Mytilus edulis: one gene and its partners. The protein of the gene in region 1 purifies or fractionates together with the protein of each later gene. This does not show direct contact. Links are inferred from orthologs where the notes say so. Each region holds a gene or a part of one and is shown on either strand. Other genes may lie near its edges.

What was found.
Region 2: the proteins of activating molecule in BECN1-regulated autophagy protein 1A-like (region 1) and heat shock protein 60A-like purify together in Homo sapiens (affinity purification with mass spectrometry, with the first as the bait; 3 studies listed by BioGRID). This does not show direct contact. The link is inferred for Mytilus edulis from reciprocal best matches to the Homo sapiens genes AMBRA1 and HSPD1.
Region 3: the proteins of activating molecule in BECN1-regulated autophagy protein 1A-like (region 1) and serine/threonine-protein kinase Nek9-like purify together in Homo sapiens (affinity purification with mass spectrometry; 3 studies listed by BioGRID and IntAct, with this or other methods). This does not show direct contact. The link is inferred for Mytilus edulis from reciprocal best matches to the Homo sapiens genes AMBRA1 and NEK9.

What each region holds. Positions count from the first base shown.
Region 1 is NC_092353.1:44,532,733-44,538,669, forward strand, and holds the start of activating molecule in BECN1-regulated autophagy protein 1A-like, read left to right. Parts: upstream 1-2,025; 5' UTR 2,026-2,118; intron 2,119-5,937. UniProt on the Homo sapiens protein: Substrate-recognition component of a DCX (DDB1-CUL4-X-box) E3 ubiquitin-protein ligase complex involved in cell cycle control and autophagy.
Region 2 is NC_092345.1:91,936,071-91,942,007, forward strand, and holds the start of heat shock protein 60A-like, read right to left. Parts: upstream 3,661-5,937; 5' UTR 3,252-3,660; intron 2,267-3,251; 5' UTR 2,254-2,266; coding exon 2,086-2,253; intron 768-2,085; coding exon 515-767; intron 1-514. Other genes in the region: 10 kDa heat shock protein, mitochondrial-like, read left to right, coding at 3,852-3,854. UniProt on the Homo sapiens protein: Chaperonin implicated in mitochondrial protein import and macromolecular assembly. Together with Hsp10, facilitates the correct folding of imported proteins.
Region 3 is NC_092346.1:18,564,709-18,570,645, reverse strand, and holds the start of serine/threonine-protein kinase Nek9-like, read right to left. Parts: upstream 3,064-5,937; 5' UTR 3,049-3,063; coding exon 2,917-3,048; intron 1-2,916.

The DNA of each region.
Region 1 (5,937 bases):
CATTTTTGTTCACAATCTGCCTTCGAAAGAAGCATACATTTTTGTAAAGGTGTTTTTTTTCTGTTGAAGTAATAGGAGAAATAAAGTTAATATCGAAATAAAAAAAGGAAATTTATTACAGAACTCGCTCAAATTTTACAATAATTTAGTTTAAGTACAGCTTATATGGAAATTATATTAAAAAATATAGGTCACCGATGAGTTAAAAAAGATATTTCAGTTTTAAAGCCAAAAAATGGCATTTTTCCACCAAAGGGAGATAATTTGGAACTTTTCCAATGATGTATGTATACATTTTAAAAGTCATCTTGGGCCAACACTAATTAATTGTTTTGAATGATTTTTGTACCATATGATAAAATAACAACTACAAAAGGTAATAAATAAAATTTGTAATGAAAAACAAAAGTTTAATTTTTTTCTGAAATTTTTATACCCTCGAGCCTCCTTAAGAGCTACGTTTTCGCAGCTAGCTTATTCAATGACCCATAGATAAAGGTATAAAAGTAAAGGTATGATTTATAATTTTCAAATTTTCAAATTTTTTCAGTGATAACTGACTGATTTTAAACAGTTAAAAAGTCGTCTTGATCAATAGCAGGTAACAGCCCCTGAACCACCTAATACAAAAATTTAAACCACACCATTTACTGATGTTTAAGTTTATGGTATCAATATAAGTTTATAATGTAATGACATACATAGAATTGTCTTATAACTTGTTGTTACATGCATCTTTATTTCATTTATATGTTGTTTTAATATTATAATTGTCTGTATTTGGATCACGCCTCTATGGTGCTCTTTCCAATAAAATATTGAATTGATAAATATCTTGGACAAGTCCTAGCAGCGAAAACGTAGATCTTAAGGTCCCTTTGATGATTTTTGGCCAAAAAAAATTCAAAGGACAATAGAGCTACGTTTTCGCAGCTAGGACTAGTCCCAGTATGTATGTATGTACTTCGAGATTCCACCAGCTTCGATGCACGCCTTGATTGACTGCAAGGGTACAGAGGATCCATGTCCACTCCCTAAGGATTATAGAGATGTGTCCTTTACAATATTATCCCCCCACCAAAAAAATCCCCACCCAAGGGAGCATGTAGGACACCGGGAAGTCTGTTATTATGGTGGAGGAAGCTGAAATACTCGGAGGGAACCACCAGGCTTCTCGGCGGGAACAGACAACCCAAAAAGATTTCAGAAGATCTATCTCCAGGTCAAGCTGGGAACAACTTTAAGTAAGTAAGTAAAACTTTATTTGGATTCGGCATATTGACAAACAATACAAACATAAGCTCTAATGAGCTTTTCACCTACCAAGGCCCCCGAAGTATCCAATCTAGTTTAAACTCAGGTCTGGATGCCAGATATGTGTGTGGGAGGGTGAAAATCACCCTACTGATGTACTAAAAATTCAAAATCTCGAGTTAGAATCGAACTCGGGACCTTCAGCACTGTAGCCATCGTTCTTAACCACCACAAACCCACATGCATGTACATGTATAGCTGCGGAACCGTAGCTCTTATTTCCTTATGCTATTTTTTTACTATTTGCGGACCATAGACCCAAATAGTCACAAAATAGCATAAGGACCTAAGAGCTACGGTTCCGCAGCTAGTACATGTAGTAAATTAAAAAAAAAAATCTTCCAAAGTGTATTTTTTACATTTTTTTAAAACTCTTTCACGTAAAAGGTAGATACTGCAAGAACAGATTTACTTTATATGATTGATTATATACCTTTATTACAACTTAGTTTCCTATAAATACCATAATCAGAAAACACATGGATTTTTCACAACACATGTGGTTATTTACAAAACATTCATCATAAAAGACAGATTTTATTGTGATGGTGTTACGTTCAATGAATTCGAGATTATCTGTCTTAAATCAAATAAATAGTATGATGCTTCATTATCAATTATTCGATCTGAACCCAAAAGACTTTAATGATATATTGTTGTCAATAACTTTTAAAGCAAGCATTTTGAAAAACAAAAATCTATCTTTTCTTCATTTCCAAATCAACATTTCCTGTTTGGTGGGGTGAAAAGTTCATTGAATGATTTAGGGTTCTTTCGCATTTTACTGGGATATATTGCTTAATTGTAAGTTATCTTTTGACAACCAGTTATAACCTCTTAGATTTCATAAGTTTAAGTTTTGATTAGAAGCTCGTCTTATTTGAAAATACAATCTTTTTCACTCTAAAATCATATGTTATGACTGAGTGATTCAAATCTGCTGCCAGCTTGAGTGCAGGTTACATAAACACTTTACCAAGAACACTATTACACCTAAGATTTTAAACAAATCAGATCTCCTGTAGTTGGTGATCGCAATACTGGTATACTGTTTCTCGTTTCTCGTTTTGTTTATATAGATTAGACCGTTGGTTTTCCCGTTTGAATGGTTTTACACTAGTAATTTTGGGGCCCTTTATAGCTTGTTGTTCGGTGTGAGCCAAGGCTCCGTGTTGAAGGCCGTACTTTAACCTATAATGGTTTACTTTTTAAATTGTTATTTGTATGGAGAGTTGTCTCATTGGCACTCACACCACATCTTCCTATATCTATTTTAATAAAAGTTTGTACCAGTATACACCTTATCGCTATTTGTCCGCCATTACTGGATATCACACAGGTTCCCGTCAAATTTTGACGTCATAAAACAAAATATCTGACGCCACAATGGAAAAGTGATTGTTGTATCAGTCTTCACGACGAACTTTTAAACCTACAGGCCCGGAGCTCAATTTTTGAAAATTTTTAGTTAGACTTTGTTGGCCTGTAGATATGATTTTTACAGGCCCAAGAGCAATTTTACTAGCCTGGGCTGCCACTCAGCGTGAAGACTGTGTATGCGTCAAAAGTTCAAGCGGCCGGGTCAGCCGGGTTTAGCGATAAGGTGTATTGTATTCCAGTATTGTACCAGTATTGTGTTTTTCTTAAATAAACAATACATATAGGTAATTAATCTTTTATCAAAGGTGTCACATATATGCATAATGAAATTAACATATGACATGACAATTTTATAAGGAATGATTGTATGTTTAACTGATGATGCCATTGATGGTACACTGCGTTTGTCATAAAAAAAAGTTTTGAATTTTCTGATGTTTTTTTCTTAAAATTGCTTAAGCATGTTAAGGGAACCGTACTGTCTCAGCATTTTAACAAACTCTTTACTTTCTTCTATGTTTTCTTTCGGCTCTCTCTTTCTAAGGCCAGGTTTTTTTAATTTGTTGGTTTACGGATTTTACCAATGAAAAAGTCGGGTCGGTCAGTCGGCAAAAAAAAAAGAAAAAAATATGCTATTTTGTCATCATTTCTTAGATTTTAGTTCGATGAAATCAGCTGTCATAAACATCGCATGACTTTCTAATAATTTTCCGTACACAAAAAGTGGACGGGGACTGCACGGATATCGTCATTTCACAGACATGAAAAACAGATTCGCGTAGCTCTTAATCAATTCCCGATAACTTGGTGGGCTTGGTGAATTACGATATTCAAGCACGAAAACTGATAAAGAAGAAAAAATGTAAAAACGTCGTGCGAAAATAAGTTTCAACACACATGTCAACAAACGTAATGGACTCGTCCACTGGAAAAACGAGAATATCGGATTAATCTGTTGTCATGCATTCCCGTTTTTTTGGCCAAATGGACGATATTTTTTTATGATCTATGAAGCGAGAAAATTTCAAATGATTTGTTAATATTTAGTACTTTAACTAACTTGACGTCTTCTACCTGTCCACATTTGGACAAGTCTATTTCTATCAGATGATGCATCTTACGGACTGATGACAAGTACAGTAAACAAATTGATTTTGTAATTGGTTTTAAACACAGGTTTCGTTTCGCAAAATTATTTGCGCAAACCACATTTCAAGGTCAGTTAGTTATAATTGATTTGTCTATTTTTAGAAACGTAAACTGGAAGACTTTATTTTTTTCACTACAGAAAGTGTTATCAATTTTGATAGTGATTAATGCATTTCATTTCATAAAAAAAAAAAACGAGTATTTTAATTATTTTTTAGGGATAATGCATTTGTTACGGTCGGCGGGAATAAAAAAGCATGAAAAGTGAATTTTATTTTTATTCTGGAAATCGGCAAAATCGGATCGGCGGATCCGTAAACCAACAAATTAAAAAATTCTGGCCTAAGTCTCATAGTATATTTTAGTGTCTATATCTTATTAAGATGGTATTTCTGCAAATCCTCCCTCCACACTTCCTATATTGATATTTAGGTATTCAGTCTCTGTGGACTTTCTTTTACGCTTACTAGATTAAAAGTTTTTTCAGATAGCACCTGTACAGCTCTCTTACTGTCGGAGTGCTTGTCTCACAAAAATGTATAAGTATTTGTACCAGAAGATATATCTGTTACAAATTGTATTGTCCATATATATGGTTCTGAAGTGACTACGGTACTTAAACTACCCTTAACAATCATATAGACAAACTAGTTAATTTGATTATAGTCAGGTTCCTTTATTATGCAACTTTTTATGTTTAAGGGATATTGATATCTTTTATTGTGAAAGATGAGAAAATAAAGACCAACAAATGCATATGATCTTACTTAGTATATCATGTATATACAACATTTGTACAATGTATGCTAAATTTACAGTGTCAGAATGTAATACCGACCATGCAAGGGCTGTATGGCCAGTCAAGGTTGTTAAAAACTTCCATTTGTTAGAATGTAATAATTGGCTTGAATTTATTAATAACTCAGATAATAAAATTTTTATTTTATCTAAAGTGAATTTAATAAATTTAAAAATAGAAATATGATAAAATTATTAGCAATTATTTTACATAATTAACAATTGTTTGAATAATATGAGATAATTACAAGAATCTTTTTGTATAAGTATAGTAATTATTTTTAACTGGTTGTTAATTGATTTCACAATTATCCCCTATAATCTGCTTGGCTTCATTTAATCTCACTTTGATCTTCAATATTTAATTTTGTTTAAAATTCATTTTTCATTATAGATCTTAAAATATAATCAACAATACAACTACAATACTGGTATATCAGTTATGTACCAGTATTGTTGTTTTTAAAAAAAAAAGTTACAATACTGGTACAAAATTTGTATACCAGTATTGTGGACAATACTGGTATACCAGTATTGCGATCACCAACTACAGGAGATCCCAATTAAATATTTCCCTTTTTATGAAGCCTTATTTTATCTGTGAAAGAGAAAAATGGCCCTATGAATTCTACATGTCATGTACATGTATCATAATTGAAACATCTTCATATTTTTCGGTCTCACTAATAAGCGACAAGAAGAATTATTTAAGCGACAAGAATTCATATTTTTTTTATAAATATTACTTATTCCAAATAAATATGGCTGAAACTACTGGGCCAAGTTTATTATAGATAGAGATAATTGTAAGCAGCAAGACTGTTTAGTAAAGTAAGATGTACAAACACATCACCATCACCAAAACGCAATTTTGTCATGAATCCATCTGCTTCCTTTGTTTAATATTCACATAGACCAAGGTGAGCGACACAGGCTCTTTAGAGCCTCTAGTTTTATGTCTTCAAAAAGGTTTTGTATAAATGAATTCTGTTTTTTTATGAGTACAAAAAATAAGTAAGATATATACATTTTTACATTGGAATGATGATTTTTTTTGTTGTTGAAATATCAATCCTCTAAACTCTGTATTAAAATATTTGTCCTCCAAAATGTCTAGCAATTTGGTGACATTATCCTTAGTGTATCACTGTATACATATTTGGTTTTAAAATCAGTGAATGTCATCACAAAGTAAGATTCTGATAAGCTTTAACAAGAAATTTGTAACTTAGATTCTAATTTTTTTTAACCCTGTTAATTTGTTAAATGAAATGATATATTCAACCTTCAATTGAG
Region 2 (5,937 bases), on another chromosome or scaffold:
CAATGTCATTTTGCACAAATAAAAAGTCTATGGCAGATATGAGCACGCTGATGTGCACACTTTGAATGATGCACTGCCAATTTAACAGTAACATCCTAACATCAAATTCATATCATATCAAAGTAAAGTTTAAAATCGTTTTTTTTTTTAATGTAATGTCAATCATTGGAATGGCCATCTGATTACCATAATTGCCTTTTGTGACTAAGTCTTAAGGGATTAAAATCGGGATCAGATATGAAATGTCCGGCTGGCTCAAATATTTTTTGGAAGCCCTGTTCTGGTCATCTATGGCACTTTTATAATAAAGTTCAGAGATTTTAAACCCCTCTCATCAGGTCAAAGTGCAATAACATTGAACAACAGGATTTTACTGGGACTGACCAAATGTTGATTTGGCCAAAGTTGTCAACACAATCATGATCAACTATATAATGGATCAAAAATCACAATATTCAAATGAAATGATCAATATGGTTACTTAACCTTCCTATACATTTAATAAATAATCTACCTCGTCTTATTTCAATTGGATTTGCTCCTTTACTGATCTTTTCAAACCCTTCCTTGGCTATAGATCTGGCCAGTACAGTTGCTGTGGTAGTTCCATCTCCAGCCTCTTCATTGGTGTTGTTAGCCACATCTTGTACCAGTTTAGCCCCTATGTTCTGATACTTGTCCTTTAGTTCAATAGATTTGGCAACTGTAACTCCGTCTTTGGTTATTTTTGGAGACCCCCAACTTTGTTCAATGATTACATTTCGACCCTGAAATAAAGGTTTCAAAAATTAAAGAACCTTAGTGAGCGTGCCCACATACCCCACATTGTCACTGGAAAAATAAAATAACTAAGAAAAAAAAATTGAATCACAATTTCCTGTCAATATGCACATCTACATAATGTGTCCTTATTATCTACAAAGTTTCATTAAATTCAATTGTGTGGTTTCAAAGGAGTTGCGATGACAAACTGTTGCAGAAGTATCTTGAAGCAAATAAGTTCAAAGGGGCAAAACTCCTAGAAAAAAATTGAATCGTAATTTCCTGTCGATATGCATATCTGCATAGTATGTCCTTATTATCTACAAAGGTTTCATGAAATTCTGTTGTGTGGTCTCGGAGGAGTTGCGATGACAAACTGTTACAGTAGTATCTTGAAGCAAATAAGTTCAAAGGGGCATAACTCCTAGAAAAAAAAATTGAATCGTAATTTCCTGTCGATATGAATATCTGCATAGTATGTCCTTATTATCTACAAAGGTTTCATGTAATTCTGTTGTGTGGTTTGAGAGGAGTTGCAATGACAAGAAACAGGACTGACAGACTGGGCAAAAAATGTTATAACATGCGCAGGAATTTGCGTGGGGTATAATAAAGAAGAAAAACAGTGTGCTTGTTAATGGTACACCAACTAACCTTGATTTGCAGACTGACCGACTTTTTGGTTTTTAAGATACATGTACCAGAATTTGAAATGAACTAAAAATTTCCATTTTATGGGATACTCCCAAATGGATGGTCTGGTTTAAAGATTCATAAGGTGATTGAGCTGCTGATCATTTATACCACATCAGAGTTGCTGCTATCTGTTTAGTTTTTGACTAGTCAAAACTGCATTTGTATATGATCAAGATTCTACATGTATATTTTGCAACTTAAGATACTTTGTCTTATGGAATATCCAGGTAATGATTAGTTAAATTTGAGCCAGTAAATTCAGGAAAAATTTAACATTGATGACAAAATGAGTTTAATATATTTTTGAAAAGAAATTACTCCTATAAGAGGTCTTTAGACAATTTCTGTCAAGTTCAACTTATTAGTAGATCTTATTGCTCTACAGTTTTATTGTTTAAAATTTCTCTCTATCTATTAGTTTTAAAAATAATGATAAACAAAAACTGAAATTTGCAAAACCTGATATTTCAGGGGCAATAACTGTGTAGTCTGACTTTCTGAAAATTCCTCTGATGTTGGACATAGACCTGTTGATCATTTTCATCCAGGCAGATCTGCTTTAGCTGCTAAAATAGTCACTTTACCATTTGATTCAACAAATTTGAACCCTAAATATAATGAATATACCTTTGGTCCCATTGTAACAGCAACAGCATCTGCCAACAAATCAACACCTTGAAGCATCATAGCTCTTGCATCTGCTCCAAACTTTATCTCTTTGGCATAAGTTCTGACAAGTGCAGGAGACACTCTCCTTGAAAGGGCAGGGCGAAGAATACTTGGTAATCGGTACATCTTCAACTCCTATCTGCAATTGAGAATTTGACCTTGACCTTAAACCTTGTTGCCTCAAATCAAATATGTATATTTCTTTTTCATCCACAAATGCATGATCAAATCAAGTTTGGTATAAGGTGAACAAATGGCTCAAAAGATATTCAGAAAAATTATGCCCACATTCCAGACTATCAATAGCTTCTGTGATCTGGAGCTTTGACCCCAAAAATCATGACTATTGGACTATTCATCTTTCCATTTGGGGGCGGGACTCAATCAAAGTAAGGCATAAGGTGGACCTTAAATTCTAAAGGTTGAAATCAGAATATCAAAATGTATACCAAATTTCCAGCTACCAATAGCTGTAAATTGAGACCTTGACCTCTAAAATTGAGTTATTCCTATTTCCTTGAACACCAATATTAACCCATCTTCACAGATTTATTTTATGGCTCAATTTCTTTTCTTCTTAAAAAACATTGATTACTGTAAAATTTCAAAGGTAAAAACTCTTGCACCGATCTTCATTGCTGAAAAGAAATCTAAGATACATGTACATGTTCATTTTTATGCAACTTTAATATTGATTACTTATTAAGTAACTACAAATGACGTCATGGCCATATCAAGTCTTAATTGAAATGGGTGGGATGCACCCAAATACACCTTATCTTTTTACTATGAACATTCCCGACGGTCAGTATTTAGAATGAATAGTAATCATTTTGTCTGATGAAATAACGTCTCCCTTTCCAGAACATGGTTCATTCAGTTAATTGACCATATAAAACGTTAATAACACTGACTTTAGACTTGTGATGTAGCATGTATGCAATAATAGTAATTGAATTTCAGTTTAACGCAAAGCCGACATACAGGACAAACAGTAGACAAAGATGCATGCTCGACGTTGTCGTTGACCCACGTGGTTGTAGTCGGACTTTTAAGTTATTACGCAATTAAATTCAACCACTTGCTGCTTTTGATATAAATTTGTATGCAATAATAAGGTTTACCTTAATTAAATATTCTTTTAGTGTGTAATGACTTTTCTGTGTATTTAAATGCCTTGTCCTTCAAATACTGCTCTGCTGGATCGCATGTATGCTGAGGCAGTGTGGCTGATGGTAACCGGAACTTGCGAATATATTTCTAGCATGCGTAAGGGATACAACGGGCCCTTCAGCAGGTATATTTGAATTTATTCTTCAACAAGTTAAGACAACATATGGCTCATTAAGAAAAAAAAATAAAGGAAATAATGAACTGGTCACAAATTAATTTCCAATGTCCAACTTGAATTATGTATGTTTCCCTAAAGCCGTGAAAATGGTTGTTATTTAGCGTATTATTCTAATACCTGCCGATTGCAGGGCACATGCCTTTATATCTCGGGACCTTTCAATCTTTTTCTGGGTTACATTTGATAAAACCAGAGAATGTCGATTAGAGAGTAACTGGCCCAACACGTGCTTCCGGTATTCTGGATGATTCTGTAGCCGGCACATTTACATCAGTTGACCTTGATAGTTTTCTGTTGCGTAAACGGACGAAGCATTGACAGTTGAAAAAGATTTAACTGGACTAGTCATTTTAGTTGCAACTATCTAAACACAATGGTAAGATCTGGTGTAGTCATTTGGAAAATGTTTTTTTTTGTTATTTAGAATCTATTGCAGTATTGGGTGTGGGAGAAATCGTTTCACATGTCATTTGTATATAATTACATACAAGACAGGTGTGACATGTGAAGAGGCTAAAAACCTAATGTTAACTTTTAAGGGCACATATGCAATAAAAAATAAAATAATGTGAAAGATAACAATAATTTGAATAAATGATTAATCACAATAATTGAATGTCATAGTCAATTATAGCTGCGAAAACGTAGTATTGTCCTTTTTTTTTTTGCCATGGTCCGCAAATATCAAAAATCATCAAAAGGATCTTAAGAGCTACGTTTTCGCAGCTAAGTCAATTAATATATATATATATATAATACTCTTATGGAAAAACTGGGCTGTTATATTTGTGACTGTTTTGAATTAAGGAGATCAGGTATGAACACTGACACTAAGTCAAGTAAATAATTTGAGAATTAATACATATACATGTATAATGTAATTTTATTATTCTTTTATTCACAATATATACAATGTATGTGGTTTTTAGCTTGATTCTGACCAATGCTTATATTCCAAATATATATGTATATGCCTCTATTGTTGTTGTTACCAATTATGTAAATCAATTGTATCTGATTTTATGATCTTTATGGGCCCTGTAATTTGGGAAATAAAAATATTCTATTCTATTCTATTCTATTCTATATAATAAGGATTTTTACCAAACTGGCAAACATTTGAAACAATAATTTTAAAGGAATTGTTTAATATTCATATGCAAAAGTGATTTAAATATTGGCCTCACTTTCAGGGCCGCAGTGGTGTAAGTATCCCAGACTGACCACCACAAATTAGCATAAAAGTGTTGAAAGTGGCATTAGCCTTAAACGTATTTACACTTTTGGTATTTAGCTGAATCTTGCCTCCGAATGACCTTAGATCTACTCCGAATCACCTTTTGACGTCAAGCAACAATCACTTTTAAATTGTGATGTCAAATATTTTAAATTATGAGGCCACCCTTAAAAAATTGTTTGTTTGGCATTGCCGACCCACACTATCAGCAGGTGGGTAGGTAGGTAGGGATTTTTTTTTTTTTTTTTTACATTCAAAAGCTTTATACATGTAAATCATGAAGTCTCTAGACCAATGTTGTCTAAAGCATTGCAGCATTGTTGTGTGTACATGCTGGTGGATTCTTTGAAAGGGGTCAACCGTCAATGTCACATTCTATATCATATGGATAATTTCATGCAAGAAAGTCAGTTTTATTGGCAGAGTAAATCAAAGTACCCAGAAAAAAACACAGAACTGAGGCAGGAAACTGACAAATTAACCATATAAGATGTATGACATGAAAATTGAACGTTTATTGTGGGACTGCCCATTGAACAGAGGCCTGATGTCACATCTTGAAGTTGTGGTCACAGTTTGGTAAAATTACCATAAGTTAAATGGCTCAACCACTACGGCTCCTTGTACAAATGGACAAAGATTTAAAACTTTGATTGTTTGCCTTGGTTTTATAAACATCACTTTCTACACCATATGGGTAATTTCATGGCAGTCAGTTTTAGTGGCGTACTAAACCGTAGTACTTGAAGGAAAACGCCAACCTGCGGTAGGAAACTGACTAACCTTAACACATATGACATGAAAATCAAACCTTAATTTTGCAACTGCCCAACTAGGGCTCAAACCAATACTTAGAGGCTAGTAATCATACATGTAAGGTGTGACAAACTACCATACAAACACGCCTACTGCCCCTGATAAGTTTTGAGGATAAAGGATCTGTACCAAATTAGGATAGCAAAATATTAAAAATTTGAAAGGTTGGCACAAATAGACATGGTGTTTATACTAATATACTTAAGTGCAAGGTTTATCAGGGCTAGGTTTAAAACGTATGATAAATTCAAAATGGAAATATGCAGCAGGACAGACAATTTTTGCAGATAAATAAATTATGGGTTGTAATGCTTGTTTGATTAACAGAAATCTGGACATGCATTACATGAATACAGATAAATTAATGAGCCCTTAGAATTGTGGAAAAGGAGGGGATTTTATTCAT
Region 3 (5,937 bases), on another chromosome or scaffold:
TTTTACTGGAATTACTTTTGTCAACATTGCATGCACTGTCATGACTGTAAACTGATCTATACAAAAACTTTAATATGTATTTGGAGCCATAAACATAAAAAGAAGGAACAAATCATAAAGCCCCACTAGTAATGAACAAAATCAATAGGAACAAATTGACCATTGACTTGGGATGAATACACCTTATCGCTATTTGTGAAATTGTCCACCAATACTGGACATCGCACAGGTTCCCGTAAAATTTTGACGTCATAATACAAAATATCTGATGCCACAATGGAAAAGTGATTGTTGTATGACATCAAAAGTTCAAGCAGTACAGATTCTCAGGTCAACTTATAATAGCGATAAGGTATACATTGTACGATTTAGGATGTGACTGCCACACGTAGTCAATAATACCATCATGCAAGACCAGCATCAGGAAAGAGTCCTTCTTTCCACGTACAATAAGTTCTATCCAGGTACAATAAGAGATTGGAACACTTTGCCTGCCTTGGTGACAGCTGCTGACTCATTCAAGGGCCTATTGCATGCACATTAAATTTCAAGTCCCATGTTTTTATTTGCACCATGTATAAATGTTATACATACAGCACAAAATTTTTCATTTTTGTTTAAATTATTTTTGGACTTGTTAAGTTTGCAAGCGCACACCAAACAGTGACATAATAGTCAACTCATGACGGTGGTCACTTAGTGGTAGAAGTAGAAGTCCTAGAAAAGATGTACATAGGACAACATCATCAATACTTTTTTTAAATAGTGTCGTCCATCCTTTTTTAAGATTTAATAAATTTTATTTATAAGGTCTGGCAGTGACAGTATGGCTGATATACATGTATCTTATGGGAGATTAGGAATCCGAGTACATGAACATGTACATAATGTATGGCCATCACATCGAAATGATCGACACATGTCGAAATCAATGAACAGGTGTGGAAAGAAACTACCCCTCCTTTAGAATCAGAGTAAGAATCAATCTAATTGTATGCTGTGATGCTTTATAGTAATTTTTTTACAGGGGAGGTGTCATTATGCAGTTCTGAAGAGATGTGGGGTGGTTGTCAACATAAATCATAAACACCAGTTTCAAACCCCTAGACTAATGGCGTAATGCAACTATAATTACTGATCATGCAAACAAATTGAGATATCTACTCAGTGAGCAAAAATCTACTATATTAGTATATAACGATAAATTGCCAAAATCTTGGTCTTTGAATGGAAAATCAGTAACACTTTCTGAATCTGCAGTTCACCTTGGAATAGATAGAAATATAACTAAAAATGCTGGGGTTAAAGAAGTTGTGAACAAGCGTATTACTACGGCAAGGAAAACTGTATACTCTCTTATGGGTGCTGGGTTACACGGTTTGAATGGAGTAAATCCAAAAGTTTCTGTACACTTGATTCAAATATATGTTGTACCTAGACTACTATATGGTTTAGATGTCATATCGCTCTCAAATTCAGATATACAAAAGATGGAACTATTCTTTAGACAATTATTAAAGCAAATTCAGCACTTGCCTAAACGCACATCAATAGCTGCAACTTTACTATTATTAGGGCGTATTCCTATAGAGGGAGAAATTCATAAGAAAATTCTGAAAACATTTGGAAATATAATTAGAAATGATAAATCTGTTGAAAGAGAAATTGCTTTTAGACAATTGGCTATGAAAGATGAAAAATCTGAAAGTTGGTTTACAAAACTACACAATTTAACTTTAATTTATGGATTGCCATCGCCTTATGATATTATTGAGAATCCACCATCAAAAATAAGCTGGAATAGACTTGTGAATAACTGTATAAATAATCATTTTTTACAAAATTTAAAGAAGGAAGCTAAAGAAAAGTCATCCTTGAAATATATTAATTTTAATGATTCCAACATAGGAACTGTGCATAATATTTGGAAAAGCAGTGGGACTGACCCGTACTCTGTTAATATGGCTGCAATTAAAGTTAAAATTGCCACCGGAATAATGATTCTTCAGTATCAGAGGTCTAGATTTTCAAAAAACTGTATCTCAGCAATCTGTCCATTATGTAACATTGAACCAGAAGATATGACTCACTTTATACTTAAATGTGAAAAACTGTCAAGCATAAGAAATCGCTTTATGCAAGAGTTGAAATCTCTTCTCGTAGATTGTAATAAGCCACCTTTGCTAATTCAAGAACTACTTGATGACAAGGAGAATCTTTTACATCTAATTATAGACTGTACATCATATCATTTTCTTACCTACAAGGAACAGGTCCGTATAGAGACATTAACCAGAGGTCTGTGTTACAAACTATATCACAAACGTTTACTTTTAATGTCTGAGTAAATTTGATTCGCATTTACTGGATTGTGTCAGGATTTATTCTGCAATATTGAGAGATGGATAGTGTTTGAACTGAAAACTCGTATCCAAGGCTTGTAAAATATCAAGTGGTTTTAGATTTTAAATATTTTATTAGCGTGTTTTATATGGAATAATTGCTTACCAAATGAACAGTGAAACGTTTTTTAGATTTTAAAGATACCAAGGACAGTGTTTTGAACAGTAAATGCTATTGCGAGGGCAGGAGTGTTTTAATTATAGACTATAACACTACGTTATATGGAGATATAATTGTGATCCAGCTATGAACGATTGGACTGAGTATATATATATATATAGTTAACTACGTCTACATGGTGATGGATTAGTCCGCATGCTGTATATATGTTACTGTTATAAAAATTATTATGATAACTACCTACGTATACTGATTTTATGAGTGCCCCGTGTGTAAGGGTTAGGGTGCAAATAAGGGTGCAAATTGGAATTACGCTATAGAAGCGAAGCTCCTGCTAGAGGAGGAAGATAAAGACTAGGTAACAGGTAACAGGTAACAATGCATGACATATACTTCTGTTTTTCTGTACAAATTTGCTTCTCCAAAAGCACCACGTCCAAGAACTTTCACATAGATATATGAAGCTTCTAATGCACCGTCTTGATTTCTTATTTCAGAATCGACTTCTTGGCCATCGGTCGCCATTGTAAACAATCTAAGGGAGACTACTCAATTGGGTAAATTTTTTTTTACCACAAAACAACACATTTTCACAAAATACAGGGAAGGTCTAAAATAAGTGGCAAATGTTGATTACAGAATATCATACCGATGTCTAAATATCATACGAATCTGGGAAATAAAGTCATAGTAGAATCAAATCATATCAACTATTTCATTATTCCAATCAGGGTCCAACAGGGTCATGTACAATTAACAATTATCATGATAATATAGGCAACAAATAGAGACATTGCCGACGGTACAGTATATAACCATCTATATATCTGGATGATATAACGTTCTCTCATATTTGGCAATTCGGTGCATGCTTATTGGATGCAGTGCTAGCAGTGATTTCCTTAAAATAAGTTTATATATTTAAAATTGGTTAAAACAAATACTGATAAATATAAACCAATTCAAGTACACCTTCTAGGGTGCACTCGACTTTAGTGACTCAGCACTTTTTTTGGATTTTATAGGTTGTTTAAAACTTTTTGTATACAATAAACGCTAGCACATCATAGAAAAATAAGTGAGCGATCTATGTTTAAAATTTTAAAACTTAAAGGGGCACTAGCTACGAGATATATAAAAAATCAAAAGCTACATCTTATTGAGACCATGTCCTGTAAATTGTTTAATTTATACTTTTGATAGTTTGGAAAAAATGTTTTACATTGTTATTTTAATAAAATATGAGAATTTGAGTCAAATTGGTGAACATGAATTTGGCAGCTAGTGCCCCTTTAAATCTCGGTTTTAAAGTCTGTGGGTTTCTACAAAAATCTGGTTTTATTTGCCACAAAATCCCCCTTTTCTATCAAATGCAATAAAACAATAAATAATAATGCTGAGCACGAAGTTTCCCCTTGGTAGATGTACAAAATGGCCCATCTGTATTATTCATTTTCTCTGCTGTTTTGATACAATTGTAGTTTGAAAATTTCGTAATTCAATGGCTACAGAAGGGGTCATTCACCTTAACCAAACCAAATTGAGAGCTGCTGAAAGTGAAGATATCTGAGAATTTACATATCATAGAAGTATCACCAGTACATCAGGAGGGACAGATGAAGAAATCCAACCAAGAAAAAGAAAAGCACAACAAGCCTTTGCTATCCTTAAACAGTCTGGAGGAGTAAAGCACGCAGAACAAACACAAAAATCAAGATCTACAACTCAAATGCAAAATCTACTCTTTTGGTCAGAAACTTGGAGACTAATAGCGACGTCTACAAAACAACACAGGTTTCCATGAACAGGTGTTTAAGAAACATTATTGGAATCAAGTGGCAAAATACCATTAGCAACAAAGAATTATAGAAAAAGGCAAGACAAAAACAAATAGAAAGAACGATTACAACATAAGGAAGGAAATGGAATGGACACAGGTTACTTAAAAACAACACAAAAGTTACTAGACAGGCGCTAGATTAGAATCCCCAGGGCAAAAGAGGGCGACCAAAGAAACACCAAGCGCGGAGATCTAACATATGATTTACAAAACATTTGGAAAAACATGGGGGAAAGCAAAGAAACTAGCCGAGCAGACAGGAAGAGACGGAGAGCCACTGTGGTTGCGCCCTATGTTCTCCATGGGATGTAAGAAGATTATTCAAGTCAAGTAAGTCATGTGATTTAATTTTACAATTCTAACAATTAATAGTTACCTTCTATTCACATAAAATGTGATGTTCATACTGTTTAATTCATCCAAATGAGTCATTTGTAGAATATTTCTCTGTTGCATCATTCCCAAGGTTCTTTTAATTCAGCAAAATGAATTATGGTAAATTATCCAACAAAAGAAAAAGGTTATGTGAATAGCACTTCTGGCACAATATGGTCTATAATATAAACTTTATCATAAAACACCAAAAAGGTCATAATTTGGTTTATAAATGGCTGTATTTCAAAATTCTTAATGTTAAACAATCAGTTCTTTAATTTCATTAAAGTACATAATATTCCCGAAAGTAAGCTCATGATGAAGTTTTATGTCAAAATAGTATGATGTTTCAGACCTAAAGCTTTAGGAAAACCTTGGTCGCCAAACCTTGGTAATCAAAAGATTTCAACATATGGATCGTGGATGGCGGCCAAGGTTGATTATGCCAAAAACAAATTAAAATTGTGGAAAAAATTACCATATTTCACGTTAAACTACAATAATGTTCATTAAAGGGGTCATAGTTACATGAATTTTAAAGGAAGGTGCCAAAAATGTAGTATTATCACAAATATTTCTACGAGGTGAAATGTGTAGTATTTTGGTCTGATCATAAAAAACATCACTTCTAGTCTATCTTAAACATCATCCTTTGACATATACGCAATTGTAGCAGGTAGACGGAAACTGTATGTAAACAGAAAGACCCAATCTAATTAAAAACCGATCTCTCATCGCTCCTGTTTCTGATATGTCGCGTGGGACGCTCCCCGCGACATATCAGAAACAGGAGCGATGATAAACTGGACCCCTGTTGTGTTCACTTATCGCTACACTGACAACAGGTATGGCCTAAATCCCGTGGTCAGAATTCTGACCACGGGATTTAATAATTTGACGAGACTAGTACATCATGTGCTATGTTTGATTATGTATTATACTGATAGCAAATCAAAGAGAAATTAGCACATTTATAACCCTACTGAGTTCTTTCGTGAATGAAAGATACCGGCTCAGTTTGTCAAGAACATGTTAACACGCTCGTTGGTCATTTATCTGCGAGTACCACCATGGGGTTAATTAACAGATACTTGTTTATTTTGCGGCATCGCAGTAGTAACATTTGAGGTCAATTTCCTATCACTTTAATTGGCCAATTTTATTAGCGAATCGTTGAATTTGTACGACTCGTCCAATTA